3 linked regions of the Arabidopsis thaliana genome follow. The protein of the gene in region 3 binds, or shares a complex with, the protein of the main gene of each other region. Each region holds a gene or a part of one and is shown on either strand. Other genes may lie near its edges. The genes, in order: AT5G53045, AT5G26110 and AT4G22720. A codon is read from its position in the direction of its gene.

Region 1 (4,724 bases), on a different chromosome or scaffold from region 3:
TCGCTTCTTCAACACAGTGAGTCCCACGTTCAGTTCTTTAGCCGCTTTCATGATCGGCCTATCGAAAAATTGTTTGATCTCAGACATCTCCAATTTGTCTTGCCTCTTTTTCTTAAGGTTCCTCTTCTTCTTAACTGTTACCTTTTCAACTTTCACGTTGGAAATGAGACCGTCGTTTTGGATAGCCAATGGTGAAGAGGAAGAGGAGTCACTTGAGAAGTAGGGCTCTTGTGTCAACAAGTGAATATCAGATGGAATTGTGTTATCCACTTCAATGTTTTCGAAGAAATCTTCAAAGCTATTGTAATGGAACTGAAAGTGCAACCCTGCATTTGGTTTCAAATCTTCCATATCTAGGAGAGAATCAAGCGGAGGCAACCTGTAGACCAAAAACGAATGAGAAAAAACAGTAAAGAAAAGAGAGATAACTTGTTTAGCAAGAAAAAGTATCAAAGGGTTTCCAACTTACTTATCTAACATGTCGTATAACGAATCTGGTTCATACTCGTTTTCGATTTTTGGAGAATCGAGATGATGAAGAGAGTTCTGATCCATTTGTTGAAGAAACAGTGATAGAAACAGAGCAGAATAGTTAAAAACAGAGGAATGTTTTGACGAACTCATATATAGTCTCTGTAAAAACAAAGATGAATGTTCATAGGGATTGCAATGTAATGGGAGTTACGAGTCCCAAAGCGTATTAGAAATCATTAAATGTTAATCTTAATTAATTACCGTGTGACTTTAATTAAGTATATATGATCACGGGGGCTGAATTGTGTGTAGGTTAGTTGCTTCTTTAATGATGATGACGATTATTTTTTTCTACTTCCTCTAGTCAAAGTCAATGCATGAAAGTTGATAAGATCATATTGCTAAAAATTCACAATCGATATTAAATGAATTGAGTTTTTGTGTATTATCGCATTAGATGATGCACGTGTTATATGTTACGATGATAGATACATTTGATGTTGAAGATGATTAAGAGATAATGAGAGTCTCCACTAAGTGATAATTTACTTAGTAAATGAAACAAAGAAAACGTAGTCAAATCAAAAGCTTTAAATGTAACCATCTTTTTTTCACTTCTCAAATCGAGTTCGCACTACATAATAATACTCCCAATAATAATCTTGGGAGTACATTGTTTGAATAAATCTGTGAAAACCCCAAGATGATTTGAGCTCGAAGAAGAAACACCAAAACACAATGTAATTTTGAGTTCTTGAAGAGTAATGAGAAAGAATCAAGCTTTTTTCTCTTCATATTGGTGTTTTACTTTTGACCAAATTCTTGAATTGTTCTTGTGGCCAGTGTAAGAACGTCTACAAATGCAGAGAACGAAGCGCGAAGCAGCCTTGCCTCTATTGCTTCAAAGTGCCTGTAAAATTATCCAGTGAGAAAAGATCAAAACTAGTGTAAGAAGTAAGCTAAAAGGTTCTATGGACAAGAGATGTCTAACTAAAGCCAGTTTCAAATCGATAAGTGATTCAACGACGAAGAAGGACTTGAAGAAACTCACACAGAAAGCTTGTTGTTTGATACTGACATAACTCTTCTCACCTTATCAGGCTGCAACTGCATTAATGTTCACAACAGAAGAAACTCTAACATCAGTGAAAAGCTTGTTGGAAATTAGATTGTATTCATATGTTGGAAGTGAATTGAGAAATTTCAAACCTCTTTATCAACAGCCAATGATGTATAAGCAATCAAAGCATGTTCTTCTGATTCAAAACTCACATCCAAATTACTGCACATTACCAAAAGCTCTGTTACATCAATCTCTAACAACTCTCATTGAAAAGATACCAAATTTATTAAAGTCTATAACAGTGTAATCCTCAATATCGTTGTCCAACACTAAGCCAAGCACTACAAAGGATGCTTAGAAGTTCAAATTAACCTAATTGAGCTGAGCAATGGAACTAACTAGGTCGTATTCCTGGTTTATGTGGGCAAAGATCGAGACTTTCGAGTCTATTCCTTCAAATGTATCAGACCCAAGATTTTTATTATCGAATCCGTATGTTCTAATTTCAGATTCAGAACAAACACGTTACGAACAATTGAAACAAAGAGCTGAATCATTAGAGAGAAGAATCGAAATTTTCCCAAATCAGAGAAGCAAAGTAAGAGAATTTACAGAACATACCAACTAAAATCCCATGTTTGATCAGAACGAGTAGTTGCAGGAACAGTGGCAGCCATATTTGCTCCTTCCTTCCTTCCTGCGTCAATGGAGGTTTTGGGGAAAACCTTAAGCAGAGAAGCAGAATTTGAGTGGGCTACAAAACGGGCCTCATTTTTTGAAGCCCAAGGGCCAAGACTTTTCATAGCGAGACGAATTGACGAGAATGTCCTTTTCCGGAAACAAAGGTATGAGAAGGGTATATTCGGAGAGTATATCTTGCATGAAGGAATATTACTTTGAGCCTAAACTAGAATCTCGTCTACTCATTTCGCTATCTCTTCTCTATCTCTAATTCTGAAGATTAAACAATTCAGCTACATAACATCATTCAGACATTCACCCAAAGAAAAGCTTTAAGCTGTGGTTTCAGACAGAAGCAGTACCACTGTACCAGGCTCCAGGCATGTCCTCTTCTCATCTCTTTCTTATAATTCTGTGTTTGTTTCTGAATTAGCTCGCTTGTTCATGATCTTGTAATAAATATTGTTTCGTAACTAGAAGCTATCCTTCATGAATGTCTTTGATACATTAAAAACATGTTGAAAGATTCATGGAATCTGGAATGTTTGTTTTCCAAGTTGTATATGACTTGTAATTCTTGATTTTAGGCTAGACAAAACAGTTATATATGTTCCATAGGTACACAAAAACATACGAGTCTATATTTGAGATTTCGATGTCTTATCTTTACATATTATGTTCGTAGAACAAATGTTTGACATGGAGTGTGACGTTGTAATGATCCTCTACACGTGTATATATCAACAGTTTGTATCACCTATCCATGTAAAAGCACTGTCTCCTTCTCTTAGCCTCTATTTGCAGCAATAATATCTTTAAGCCCTTATGTCTCATCAGCTTGATCATTGAAGAACTGGCTCATTGCTTGTATGAAAATATCTGTCGAACGACGTCAGATTGTGATAGATCTAGTTGTTAATGTTCTATCTTTGATATAATTAAGCAGTGAGGAGCTTACTTGGTCGACAAATTGATATGTGAAGGGTTGTTGTTATGTTAGAGAAGGTCCAACTTTGACGGGGTTTACAGCCCTGAAAGCTCTTCTTGAATACTCAAATGCCAAAACCAGAAGCCCGAAGAGGAAAAGTAGAAAGCCATGGAACTTTTCCGCTATGAAATGTGCAGGAGAGGCGACATTCTTGCCTTCCGTTGAGCTTCTAATCAATGTTAGTCTCCTCTTGAAATAACCTAATAATTCGAAGAGCAAGCAAATAACGGAATGTTGATGTTAGTCTCAGAACGATCTTCAAAGAAGAAGAATGGTCTAAAAGAATGGAAATTGGGTATTTCTATACCAGGTGTTTCCATGGTGAGGTTAGTCCAATCAGTTGATATTTTCTTCATTTCTGACGCCTTGATTAACTCGAGCAGAGCTTTATTAACCTGAAATTGATTGACCAGAAGGTATGTTATTCGAGGTTCTGAGAATACCAACATGAGTAAGGAAAATGTGATCCCTCTTCCACATTGTAGCAATGTTGTTCCTTAAAGACTTCAAAGCCTGTAAGTCTTTATAGTTTTCTTCTATCATAAGTAAAAATGAGATATAAGTAACGGTATAATCGCTTACAATGTTCGATCAGTTGCTACAGCAGTCAAGTGTTTTTCCAAATAGGTTTGCCTTTAAAACGTTTCTCCATATACGATTAAATCAGTTCATCATATTCATAGTCAACTTATTCTTATTTTCAGAATAGTCTGATTCTCTTTCGGTCTTATATTGTTCCTGTTAAGTTACAGTAATCTGAGTATGACATTCATTAACATTTACTGCAGGTTGGATGAGATTAAAGAGCGACAAAGACTTTAGTTATTAAGTCTTACATTCATCAGACGCAAGAGAGACAGAGAAGTTAAGACCTAGCTAAATAAGACAGAAGTACCTCTTCTGTTCTCTCGTGGCTTACAAGATGACCTCCATGAAGATCCACCATTCTAGCGACTGGATATAGCCTCTGTGCCAGTCTTCTTGCGTAACATATCTGAGCAATCACATCATGTCTGCATATAACCCAACACATTCTCACATTAACTACTGTGTAAAGGTAAAGATGCTTTACAAGATCAACAAACTCAAGACTGAGTGCACAAGGTGACTTTGATTCTAATTTCTTTGGTGTTCCGTACCTTCCATGAATGACTGAGACAAGAAATCCAGCCGAGCGGATTAGTTCAATCTCTACTTTTGTGATTTTGTGTAACCAACAAGCGTTAATTTGGCCATCAAACCCGTACTTGGACTGCATTCCAGTTTCTGATATTCCTTTTACATATTGCTGTATTGCATCACTCAAATATAAGTCACCTTAAATCGTTCACTAGTGATATGCTTATATGTCATTTTCTTCGCATAATAACCAGTAAACCCACCTGATATAAAATTGCCCGTCTTGTATTAGTTCCTACAGATTCTTCTAGGTAATCCTGCATATATAAACAGCATGAGAACATAATCACTCACAAGTTTCATCTGGACAGTAATACGCCAGCCTTAGATTTTGTTACC
Region 2 (5,751 bases), on a different chromosome or scaffold from region 3:
TGTTGAGAATGCTATACTCGTCGGGGAAAAGACAATAGGAGTAGTAGTTTTCTTTCATTGTAATTCTAGAAAAGAGTGGTGGATGCCATATAGCAATTGTAGGTTGCAGCCTTTTCTAGTGGATGAGTTCTGGACAAGGTCCCGGGGATGTAAGTAGTTAACCGAACCCCGTTAACAAATCTCTGTGTCTCCTTTATTTTATGCACATACAAATCATAACACTCTCACATCGTACAAAGATATAAAACCAGCACACACATATGTTTCCAGAATTTACTAGTAATTCAACAATTGGCGTAATGAAAATAGGATCTGTATATTAGGGGAGAAAACCCATTTCACTAGTAACTTTTGAATTCTGATTGATGTTTTCTGAACTAAACAATGTCTGTATATATATCACAAAAAAAAAATGATGAAGAGATATGTATACACCCAATCCCATAAAATATCATTCAGAGGAATCAATTGGTGATCTTAGGCAACTTAGGTTGAATGTGGCGGCGAGGCCAAGGTGTCCAAGGAAAGAGTTCGTTAGTGTCTTTCATCAAGAGACCTTCACGTCTAACCGCTAAAACGCATCTGTAACCGGGACATGTTCGTCCGAGCGCTGGGGTTATCTTGATATAGGCATCAACATAACCCAAATTTGACCGGAAATGGCAATGTTGAACGACCTTTGCGTTTGGATTAATGCTGTAAAAGAAGAACTTGGCGTAGAAAATGTCTCCCGGAAGAGACCTTGTCCATTGTTTTTTGCCATAGTTGCACATAAAGCCTGCTTTTGGTTTCTTGATCCCTTTCAATTCATTGATGGCTTCGAAGATCACATTGGTTCCGTCTTTGAGTTCGAAATCGGAGCTGTAGTATTCGCTAGGATGAATCGTTTCGTAATCAGCGTAATGGTTAATCAGAGGGTTGTTCTCCTCGCCGCAGGTGCCTTGTAACACAAGGTATATACACAAGGCTCCAAGAACCAACTTGTTTTCCATTTAACTCTTTTTGAAATTACTTTTAGGTTTTATCTATTTTTTCTTGTTATATATGAAAAGTTAATGGTTAGAGAACGAAGCCGTTATATGCTCAAATAAAAGGTAGTTAAACGTTTTGTAATAATGGTGTTGTAACATTCTTTATTTGTCATATGTTCGTTGACATAATCGATAAATATAGTAACTTTCTAACCGTAATCAATAATGTTGCTTTCTTAAGTACTTATATGAGAATGCCCTGCTTGACATATGTTCTATAATCGTTTTCTGGTTGAAAAAATCGATCACACATCTCAGCATTGATACCTTAATACTGATCGACAAATTGGATCGCTATCGAATAATAATACAGGACAGATTTTGGGTGGCTTTGTGGTCAAAGTTTTAAGGACAGTACCACTGGAGAACTTGGCTCATCGCCTCATCCAATCATAGTCCGCTTTCTCCCTCGCTGTCTCACTGCATATACCAAAAGAAGACTTTCTAAAGGTTTGAAGAAGAGTTGGTTTTAAAAGAGGAGGTGGAAGAGGAGTGTGATAGAACCTTGTGCGAGCTTGTTAAACGTGGCTGACCATTGCTTTGAGGACTTCCTATACGCCGTCAGTATACGATCCATCTACAATTGACAACAAAATACGCAGTGAGACAACAACAACAACAACAACAACAGACCCAGCAAAAGTAGTGAAGTTATGATTTGCATCACACTTACCACATTCCCGCATGACGAATGCATTGAGAGTAAGGCTCTTTCAAGTACATATAAATCAACAGCTTTGTCTTCAGGCAAGGTCGATGTGACGCTCAAGCCAAAATCAATTAGTACCTGAGGGAAGACATATCCATGGTCATGAATCATAAGTAACTAATCAAGAGAACTTTATCACAACCTCTGAAGATACTTACCAGCTGATTTGTTCCACTTCTGACTAACATATTTGATGTGGTCAAATCACCATGAGCCAAGCCACCATCATGGAGCTTAGCAATTGCAGCCCCAATCTGAGCAGCAACATCATCTAAACGTTCCTCAACAACCCCATTGGTCCCAAACTCAAGGAAAATATCCTTAACAGAGACCCCCTCAATGTACTCAAGTGTTAAAGAGTGAAGCAGAGTATCCACAGCATATAGGACTGGAGTACAAACCCCGAGCTTTCTTGCCTTTGTCATACACCTAGCTTCCTATATTCAACAAATAAGCACATATAAGATGAAATACTCGATTTTTACTTCTCTTTCTCATGACTTCATCAACGAAACAAGAAAAAGGCGGAGTAAACCAACCGCATTCAAGCGTTTAAGTGTGAGTTTTGCATCCAAAATCGGATGTCTATATTTCTTCGAGAAACGTTCTTTCACGATGGATCTTCTTCCAGCAAATGTAGACTCGAACACCCTCTATAGATAAAACTGAAAAGACTTAATCTTGACAGAAAAACATATACACAGATTCGCACAGAGACACTTACAGCTTCTGCTCCTTGTTTAATCAAAACGAGTGATTCATCCCTAACGTTTTCCTCACAATCCATTCTAAATTTCTCAGGATTCTACACAAAACCAACATAAAGAATGAGACTTTAGCAATTGTTTTTGAAGCTCTAGCAATAAGGCCACACAATAATCGCTTCTAGCTTAAGTCTATTCCAACTAAAGATCTCTACTTCAGTTATCAACAACCATTGACCAAAAAATCTGCCTTTCATCATTTAACACAACAAGCTTGCCAAGTTGGTCAAAAATTCTAAATTGCATAAGATTATCGTCGAATTGAACCTGCAAGCTGAGTGGTGACGGAGAGGAGCTCGTATGTGTTCGCCGGAGAATGAGACGAAGAGAGAGATATTCGCGGCGCCTGTTTTCGTTGGAAAGAGAGAAGCTTCTCTTTCGGAAAGGCTCGCGGCTCACCTGTGTTTCACCGCCGGAGGAAGAGAAGCTGCGAAATTTTCGCCTGAGTTTGTCGTCGGCGACTCGTTTGTGAACAATGAAGACGAGGTCGGAACTAGGGTTTTTAATTTTAATTTGATTCCGGTTATCTAGGTGCATACCGGAATCAAAAACCGAAATTATAAGAACATGAACCGGTTTTTGTTTGGTTTATCCAAATTTGAATTGAAAAACAGAAACAGCATTGTTTATGATTAGTTCGTTCGGTTTGGAAAATTTCCAAAACCCTATTTGATACATTTTGAGTTATTTTCTAAATAATCCTTAAGTCATTCTCAATTTTTACCCAAATTAGATAGTTTTTTTTGGATGAATATAAAATTATCTTCATCAGAAAAAAAATAAAAATTACAATGAATGCATCTTAGAGAGTTTAATAATTTGGAGAGACACCAATACCACCAGCACGTACAGTTGCTTCGATAACTCGACAAACAAGTCTGAAACTGGATCTCCTCTATTCGTTAACAATGAGATAGAAGATAGATCCATGAAAACTTGGAAATTTGTACGCAATTTATTTACCAAATGTTGCACTTGATGTAAAAACGTTTTTTCGAATAAATTTTACATGTATTAAAAAAAGACAAATATGTTGGCTTGTGAATTTTAATGATTTGAAACAATGTCTAATAGTGAAATTCTTTAGCCAAATGCACTTTAGCTATATGTCTATATATGAAACCAAATCAATTCGTTTACATTTTTGTGAACCGGTATTTATATTACAACTCTACTTGTTTCAAAAAAGCTTCCAAGTCATTGAGTACTTTTCTTTATCATGATCCTTCAAACTAAATTGGTGATATCACTCTCCATCGAAATATTTCACGATGATGTCACTCAGATTCATGAGATTTAACAATTAAGTAATTAACCCCTAATCACCATGAAGCTAGTTCATTTTAGACATCATAATATCAGATTTTTTGTTCTTCTGATGTTACTTCTACGGGAATAGCATTCATATCGATGTTCGACTTGGTTCTCGAAATCGAGATCGAACTCATGGATCTAGGACGATATATTCTGTTCTCTGCCATTCTTTGGCTTTGATCTTCATCTCCTTCTTCCGCATCAAGAACCCTACATCTCTCTCCAAGTATAATTGGGAGTACCAGAATCGAATTATCTGCGTTCAGTTTCTTCTTCCTCACAGATTTATCCTCCTCCTTGTCACGTTTGAGGACCATGGACAATGATCTCGGTATTTGGATCGTTAGGCTCGCACTCAGTTTCTTCTTAGTAGACAAGGATCTTCTTAACACCATGTTGTTACACGAATATGTTCCACGTATTGTTCCTTTTCTTCCTGGAGGCAACGGAAGCTCAGAGTCCGCTTCATTACTATCGTCATTAAATGCATTAGTATCTCGATCATCGCTTTCCTTGTTCCACAAGTCATCACTTTTCGTGATCTGCAAGTCATTATTTGTTTGTTCTCTTTCTTTGGTCTCCCGAGGAGATGACTGATACATCGTCTCAATCGTTCCCAATGGCCGAGCGTTTTTCTTGAAGCCACAAAGGCCGGTGAATAAGGCGATGAAGGGAGCCATCTTGCTCCAACATACAAAATGTTATAATATAATCAAAAATTGTGTGAGAGTAATGGAATTTAATTTTATGGTTCTCTTAATCTTAAAATTGCTTTGAAAGGACAGATAAATTGCTGGAATTTAGGGGATTTTAGTTTCTCAAGTATTAAGATATGTTCTCGATGTCTTTCTAATTATAGTTTGAAGAAAAGAAAAAAACAAGAAACTGTGAGAAGCAATGTTTGTTAGATAAGGATTTTAAACAATAAAGAATTAAACTTTGGGCTATTTTTAGCTGCATTTTGACGACACAATGTAAGTTCCTTTGACTGAACTGTTTAGGGTCTAATGTGTTACCATTGTTTTTTTTTTACCAAGGAAGAGTAATCTTGCATATCAAGTAATCTAAGGGCATAACGTGATTATAATCAACTAACTTTGGTATTATTCACGAACATATAGGTTTATGTGTTTAATAACCACTGAAGAGTAAAGACAAAAGACATGAAAGTCTCCAAGATGATGTTTCTCTTCACATTGTTGAAGTTTTCTTGTATGAATCAGATATTGGCATCTTGATGACATTTTCAGATTCTGTCAACAAATCGAAGGAAGAGAACGAGTGCGGCGGGAGAACAAACATAAGGTCTTCCTGCTCAGTCATCTCCAGCAAACTTTCTTGTGGCACAATCTACAGAAAAGAACAGAGAAAACAACTTAGCAACGTTTTCAAGATTCAGAACAATACTAAGCCCTAACTCTTGTATGATTGATTCTTCATATGTTTTACCATATTTGGGTTTGAAAAAGAGTTCTCATCCATCACACTGGCAGATGTAAGTACTTTCTTTTTGGATCCATAAAATTTTGCCATCAATCCTGTCACTGCTACCTTTAGATTTACTGATTGTTCTCCAAAGTTTACAGCCTGTGTATTCATATTTGGTCAGAACATTCATTTGGTTCTAGACATTTGTTTTGTGCGTATGGGAGATAAGCAAACCTTGATCTGTATGTAATCTTTGCCATTGGTTTGGAAAGAGATGGCAGATGCTTCAACAGAAGAAGTCTTTCCCTTAAGTGTAGAATTGAGAAGAGTTGCTCCGCTTGACTCGGTGAAGAAGTGTTGGACCCAATAGCTAGGAGTTCCATATAGATGAGACGAGTTAAAAACTATTGCATCAGGGATCCACCTGAAAAACAAAACAAAAGCAACGGGCTTGTTTCTGATTACCGCATTCAAGATATACCGATAAAAACCGTTGAAACTAAAG
Region 3 (5,806 bases):
CTTTGCATTGGTTTATGATTTAGACAGACTTTAAAACATTTTTAGTATATTTCTTCTATATCACAAATTCTATATAAAACAAAAATATGCTTTTTGGATAACCATTTTAGAAACAAACAGAACTCGGGCAAATCGCAAAATCATTTAGCTATTTGATCATAACTTAAGTTTACGAATAAAATCCATAGAACTTAATATCTATGTGTGGTGGTTATTATAAATGGTAAAATGGGTAAAAGTGTAGAGCGGCTTTAATGTGAGAAAACGATCTAACGAGTGAAGTTTATTTAAGTTCATGTTTGGCGATTGAGCACTTTGGCTTATAGTTCATAACTTTTGGAATCATTTCGAAACTTGGATCATCCTCTTCTTCTTTGTCAACACTCCACCTTCCCATTCCCTGCATGTGCCACGTGCACGTGTCTACTCCTGCATACACATACACATACACATATTCATATTTAGTCTCTTAAAACAAGTCTTTGGATGAGAATAGTACTGATTAAAGAATGTTTTTTTTAGATCCATATTTCTAATAGTGGTCTAATATGATTAGTTGATTATATATACTATAAAATATAGTATACTATAAAATATAGTATATATGGTCTAAATATAGTATTTAGTTAATGATGATATCGAGATTTAGAGGACAATTATTCCACTAACTCTCTTTTCTTTTCCTCTAATTATTTGTAGGCTATAAAGTAAATTGATAAAAGATTAGTTATAGAAATGCTATTTGTTGGTACATGTATTCTAACCTAATTGGGTTTAAGAACAAGACAGTTTGACTATAAGCAGAATCCAATGTGGACTGAAACATTCATCTTAATTAGATATTCTTAGATATACTCTTTGATTATATACAAACTTTTATCATATGTCCTATTATACTGATGAATCTTACTATGTGGACAAAACTTAATTCACACAATGAATAAAATTGGTGAAAATGATAACAAAAAACAAATTAGTGAAGTAATTAAGCACGTTAAAACTAAAAAACGAGACTAGTAGATTTGACGACGACGATCGAGTTCAATGTGAAAGCATAAAACCTTATCAACGGCTATAATTCAGATCTTGATTACTTCAAGGTTTTTTAGATGTATACAATAGTTTTAACAAAAAAAAAGATGTATACAATAGCAATCAGACAACTTTGATTTATCTTCAATCATTCGTCTTTTATTTTTTGGCATTTCAAGATGGAAGGAAGACTTTTGAAATACTTTTATCTTTTCGTTAACTACTTTGACCTTTTACTTGATTGTTTTACTAATAACTTTTGTCATTTTCTCCTTTTTCCCACGTCTTTTTGAATCTATATGATGTCTTTTAAAACTTTTGAAAATTTTATATTTAGTATGCATGCTTACTTACATAGTTACATGTATGAATGTTTTATCTAGAACTCTAGTCTCTAGAAGGATATCCACATTATGCTACAAAAGTAATATAAATATCGACCAAAATTTGTGTAGCCTATGTGTCAAGGTTCTGATTTACACTTGAAAATACGCAAATGAGTTCTAGATGATGGAAAAATGATACACTATATCTCGAATGTTTTTACAAAATTATTAGATAGAATTTATCTCTACGTCAAATTGAAATTTTTGACAACTTGTTGTTGCCTTTACAATTTTTATTAGCAAGATCAAGATTAGATCATTATGTATAAATTCTATTTACTCACTTTTCGTTTAATACGCAATGCCATAGAAGTGTCTTGTGATTAATTGAACCATCTCATACGTTCTACATTAAAAAGTTCTTACTTTTTACTTTTTAGTAGTGCTGTATTTTCACAGTTGTTTTTGTATGATTAAGGAAGACTAATGCACTAATCTCTCCACCATTCTCGGTAGAAATGTCGACTTTGAGATATCATATTTTTATTAAAGCAATAAAACAAATAGCGAAATGCAACACAAGAAACATTTGAACTTTTTACAAAGCTCACTTTGAAATTTGAAAGTGTTATTACATTCAAACCAAAAGATATCAATCATATAATTTGGCTAATAAAACACATTTAAAAGTCTTAACTACTTAGCAAAAACCAATTTATCGAGTAGAGAGAGATTCAATCTCAAATTTGATGAAAAATGAACAAAAATGGGGACAGACTCAATTCGCTGCAACTTTCTTATCCCCAAGTAGTACAGCTTCTTTCTCTCGCCACACCGCATGAACCTCGTCTGTGCGAAATCGTTGTGTAAAGGTAGAGTCTTCGATCGGTGTTTCAATACCATTAACAAACGCGAGTAGACCTGTGTAAGCGATCATAGCTCCATTATCGATGCAGTAACGGTCATCTGTTGCAAACAGCTTACCATCACGTTCTGAGCACATAGTCCTCATCATTTCCTGCAAACGCTCGTTACACCCAACACCGCCAACTATCAAAACGTCTTTCTTGTCACAATGCGCCATCGCTCTTTCTGTGATCTCAACCAACATCGCAAACACCGTCTCCTGCAAGATCAACAAACATGAATTCATGATATTACTCTTAAACAGTCCAAAATTTGCATTCATGTGACAAAATTCATCAGTTAAGAACCAAGTGATAGCCTTACTTGAAGGGAATAACACAAGTCTGCTGGTGTACACTCGTTATTCTTGAGCTTCTCCTCTGCAGTAGTTTCGATATAACTCAAGATTCCGCTGAACGATACATCCATACCTTTAACAGCATACGGAAGATCAATAAAGTTTTCTCCTTTCTTAGCAAGCTAGTAACAACACCAAAAACCGTGTTAACATTGTTCTTGAATCTTTCAAGAATTCAAATTTACTTTACTTTCAAATGAAATCTACCTGTTCAATGTTATAACCAGGGCTTGGATCATTAGAAAGCTTCAAGACTCTAGCAAACCGATCCAAACAATTACCAACAGCAATATCAATAGTCTCACCAAAAATCCGGTACCTACCTTCACTATAAGCAATCACCTGAGTGTTACCACCACTCACATACAACACAACAGGATCATCAGCTCCAGTAACTACTCTCCCCATCTCAATGTGAGCCACACAATGATTCACAGCAACAATTGGCTTTTTCCAAAGCTGTGACAATACTCTAACAACAATGGCTGAAACCTGCAACGGCGCTCCCATCCCGGGACCTTTCGTATAACAAATACAGTCGATTTCTTCAGGAGTAACTTGAGAAGTCTCTAAAGCTGATTTGACTAAAGGAAGAACATGGTCAAGATGGTGATGTGCAGTCTCTCTAGGAAGAAAACCATGACCAGGTGGTGTTATATACGTATGCCGAGGATTTGCTAAGATAGTACCGTCTAAAGTCACAATTCCAACTCCAATCTTGTTAGCTGATCCTTCGAAACCAATGGCTATCATCTTCTTCTTCATTTCTTTGATTTAAAAACAGAAACTTTCTACACAGAGAACAACAAATTCAGGACTAGGTGAAGTAAAAATCCAAACTTTATTCTGAATCAATTTGAACTAACACAAATTATAGCCTTAGACGTTGAAGATGATGAACAAAATTAATCCTTTCGTTGATTGGTATTGGTATTGAGAGAGACCCAACAAAGAGATTCGTATAACCTAGGTTTCGTTTCCTTAGATGAAAGAGCCCTAAACCCTAATCTAAACACAGAAACCAATTCCATTCGAGACACAACACACTGAACCCATGTACTGTTGTTTGATTTAAATCAAAAACTAACCTGAAGCTGCGTGATGGCCGGAATCAGAAGTAGCTCACAAGCTCAAAGCAAAACGAAATTAGCCAGAGAGTTTAAAGAAGAAAAAGACGGCGATAAAGTCGCCGGGAGAGAAACGACGATGTTGAGTTTCTAGACTGTGTAAACGGCGTCGTTTATAAATGGGCCTAGCCCAATAACGCATATTTTGCCGCTAAGAAGGACTCATTTAGTGTGACGTGAAGTATTTGTGATATAATTATACATTAATTAATTTAAATAATTACAATTTTAATTTGTAACCTTCATACTAATTTGTAATTTGTTGACCCAAGAATTTTAATCGACTTGCCAAAAATATAACTACAATATAGTTTTATAGCTTTGGCATCGACTATTAGGCGTTATTATTGTAAGTAAAACTTTGTTATATTAAATGTTATCAAAAATGTAACTTGACACATCTTTTATACAAAGCATCAAAACTCCAGACACAGATAAAGAAAAGTAAACTTTAAACAAGAAAACTCAATTCAACATCCTTCTTACTTAAGCTGTGTAGAGTTTTGGATCGGACAACCTTGGAACAGGAATAGCCACAAGTGGAGACTTCAACTTAAGAACAAGACCAAACTTCTCTTCAACCTCAAACTTCTGTCCTTGAGGAGCTTTCCAATCAAAAGAGTGAAGAAGTGAAGCAATGTTGAACAGAACAAGTCTCTCAGCCATGTTTATCGCCGCACAAATCCTCCTTCCTGACCCAAAAGGCAAATACTTAAAATCACCTCCATTGAAATCAAGCGAATTCTCCAAAAACCTCTCAGGTTTGAACTCGTTTGGTTCATCCCAATTCTTAGGATCTCTATGAATCGCCCAAACGTTGATGAAAATCTTGGAGTCTTTAGGCACAGTGTATCCCGCAACCACCGAGGTTTCGCTGTTTCTGTGAGGAACAAGAAGAGGAAGCGTAGGGTGAAGCCTAAGAGTCTCTTTCATAACCGCTTGTAGGTAAGGAAGCTTAGGTAAATGTGATTCCTCAACGATGTTGTCTTTGCCAACAACTTGGTCAAGTTCTAGTCGGATCTTGTTTAACACTTCCGGTCTGCTCACAATCTCTGCCATGGCGAATTCGGATGCGTTAACCGATGTGTCGACACCACCAAGAACCATATCCATGAGGAGAGACTTGACATGAGTCATGGACAGAGGAGCTTTCTCATCATCATCTTTAACTCTAAGTAAGTATTGCAAGAAATCTTCTTCTTCTTCGCTCTTCTTTCCCACCATTTTGACGTGACTCTCCATAACTCTATCGAACAAGAGATCAAGCTTCTTCACATGGCCTTTCATCTGCTTAACCAATCCTTGGAAATCGAATCTTGAGAACAACGGAAAGAAATCTGAGTAGTTTTGAATCCCTTCTATGTCGGAGATATCAGATATTAGGGTTTTGAGCTCGTTTCCTAAGCTCGTTCTCTCGTCTCCTTCAACAGTGGCGCCCCACATCATTCTTGTCACGACGTTGAAAATGGAAAGAAATATTTGCTCTCCGAGGTTGACTGGTGATCCTTCACGAGCCATTTCCGACATGTGGACAATGGTTTGTCGGGTTTCTTCCCGGCGAGTGGAGTAGGAAGCTTCGAGACTTGGGGTAGTGAACATCTTCATGACGCAGAGCTTACGAAGTCTCCTCCAATGGGTACCGTAAGGAGACCAGAGGATGTCTTCACCACCGTAAGTGTTGATCTTTCCGACTTCAGGGAGATCGTGGTTGGCGAAAGTGATGTCGTGGGTTTTGAGAACCTCGCGAGCCATGTCAGGGGAAGAGACGACGATCGCAAGTTTGGAACCGAGGTGGATCTTCATGAGAGGGCCATATTTTAGGGTTAGGGCTTGGAATTGCGTGTGGAGGACGTCAGAGTTTAGGAACGGGAGGTTTCCGACGATAGGAAGTGGCCAAGGTCCCGGAGGCAGTGGAGGTTCCTTTTTGGACTTGGACTTCCCCTGAATCCATAAGTAGCATACAACGGCCAAGAGAGCAGCGACGGCCAGCATCACGGAGCTGTACGGCTCCTCAGTGTTGAGGACCTGCGAGAGGTTGATGTTAGACTTAGACGACG

Evidence for each region.
Region 1: the proteins of AT4G22720 (region 3) and AT5G53045 are in contact, whole or in part, in a cryo-EM structure (PDB 8K20), measured with the Arabidopsis thaliana proteins. Residues at the interface, in NP_194003.1 of Arabidopsis thaliana: Arg47 (codon at 3,249), Leu54 (codon at 3,228), Leu58 (codon at 3,216), Gln91 (codon at 3,117), Val92 (codon at 3,114), Ile95 (codon at 3,105), Arg98 (codon at 3,096), Val99 (codon at 3,093), Leu100 (codon at 3,090), Gln102 (codon at 3,084), Leu103 (codon at 3,081), Ile319 (codon at 2,244), Glu320 (codon at 2,241), Asp321 (codon at 2,238), Ser322 (codon at 2,235), Phe324 (codon at 2,229); in NP_850925.1 of Arabidopsis thaliana: Ile33 (codon at 1,716), Thr36 (codon at 1,707), Ser37 (codon at 1,704), Val40 (codon at 1,695), Asp41 (codon at 1,692), Lys42 (codon at 1,689), Ala78 (codon at 1,338), Asp81 (codon at 1,329), Val82 (codon at 1,326), Leu85 (codon at 1,317), Arg88 (codon at 1,308), Thr89 (codon at 1,305), Ile90 (codon at 1,302), Phe93 (codon at 1,293).
Region 2: the proteins of AT4G22720 (region 3) and AT5G26110 are in contact, whole or in part, in a cryo-EM structure (PDB 8K20), measured with the Arabidopsis thaliana proteins. Residues at the interface, in NP_194003.1 of Arabidopsis thaliana: Glu147 (codon at 2,949), Arg149 (codon at 2,943), Arg151 (codon at 2,937), Phe194 (codon at 2,723), Lys202 (codon at 2,699), Gly203 (codon at 2,696), Tyr235 (codon at 2,600), Glu239 (codon at 2,484), Ala243 (codon at 2,472), Val246 (codon at 2,463), Glu247 (codon at 2,460), Glu250 (codon at 2,451), Arg251 (codon at 2,448), Ala254 (codon at 2,439), Arg272 (codon at 2,385), Met280 (codon at 2,361), Glu283 (codon at 2,352), Arg284 (codon at 2,349), Arg329 (codon at 2,214); in NP_001331017.1 of Arabidopsis thaliana: Ala19, Glu20, Lys41, Lys42, Tyr43, His45, Ile47, Leu48, Arg56, Gly158, Leu159, Val161, Asp168, Arg178, Arg218, Gly219, Lys221.

Annotation. Positions count from the first base shown.
Region 1 is NC_003076.8:21,507,325-21,512,048, forward strand, and holds AT5G53045 (transcription factor), read right to left. Parts: upstream 2,286-4,724; 5' UTR 2,215-2,285; coding exon 2,159-2,214; intron 1,757-2,158; coding exon 1,684-1,756; intron 1,582-1,683; coding exon 1,526-1,581; intron 1,385-1,525; coding exon 1,279-1,384; 3' UTR 1,017-1,278; downstream 1-1,016. Other genes in the region: RKD4 (RWP-RK domain-containing protein), read right to left, coding at 1-379, 470-624; AT5G53050 (alpha/beta-Hydrolases superfamily protein), read right to left, coding at 3,210-3,406, 3,514-3,601, 4,102-4,494, 4,589-4,642.
Region 2 is NC_003076.8:9,116,826-9,122,576, forward strand, and holds AT5G26110 (Protein kinase superfamily protein), read right to left. Parts: upstream 3,017-5,751; 5' UTR 2,772-3,016; intron 2,640-2,771; exon of another isoform or gene 2,546-2,639; 5' UTR 2,528-2,545; coding exon 2,465-2,527; intron 2,394-2,464; coding exon 2,280-2,393; intron 2,178-2,279; coding exon 1,899-2,177; intron 1,819-1,898; coding exon 1,705-1,818; intron 1,609-1,704; coding exon 1,536-1,608; intron 1,452-1,535; coding exon 1,414-1,451; 3' UTR 1,082-1,413; downstream 1-1,081. Other genes in the region: AT5G26100 (uncharacterized protein), read right to left, coding at 465-992; ASD2 (alpha-L-arabinofuranosidase 2), read right to left, coding at 5,010-5,168, 5,268-5,405, 5,481-5,670.
Region 3 is NC_003075.7:11,935,048-11,940,853, reverse strand, and holds AT4G22720 (Actin-like ATPase superfamily protein), read right to left. Parts: upstream 3,913-5,806; 5' UTR 3,711-3,912; intron 3,414-3,710; 5' UTR 3,388-3,413; coding exon 2,830-3,387; intron 2,745-2,829; coding exon 2,589-2,744; intron 2,485-2,588; coding exon 2,137-2,484; 3' UTR 1,885-2,136; downstream 1-1,884. Other genes in the region: CYP706A2 (cytochrome P450, family 706, subfamily A, polypeptide 2), read right to left, coding at 4,236-5,806.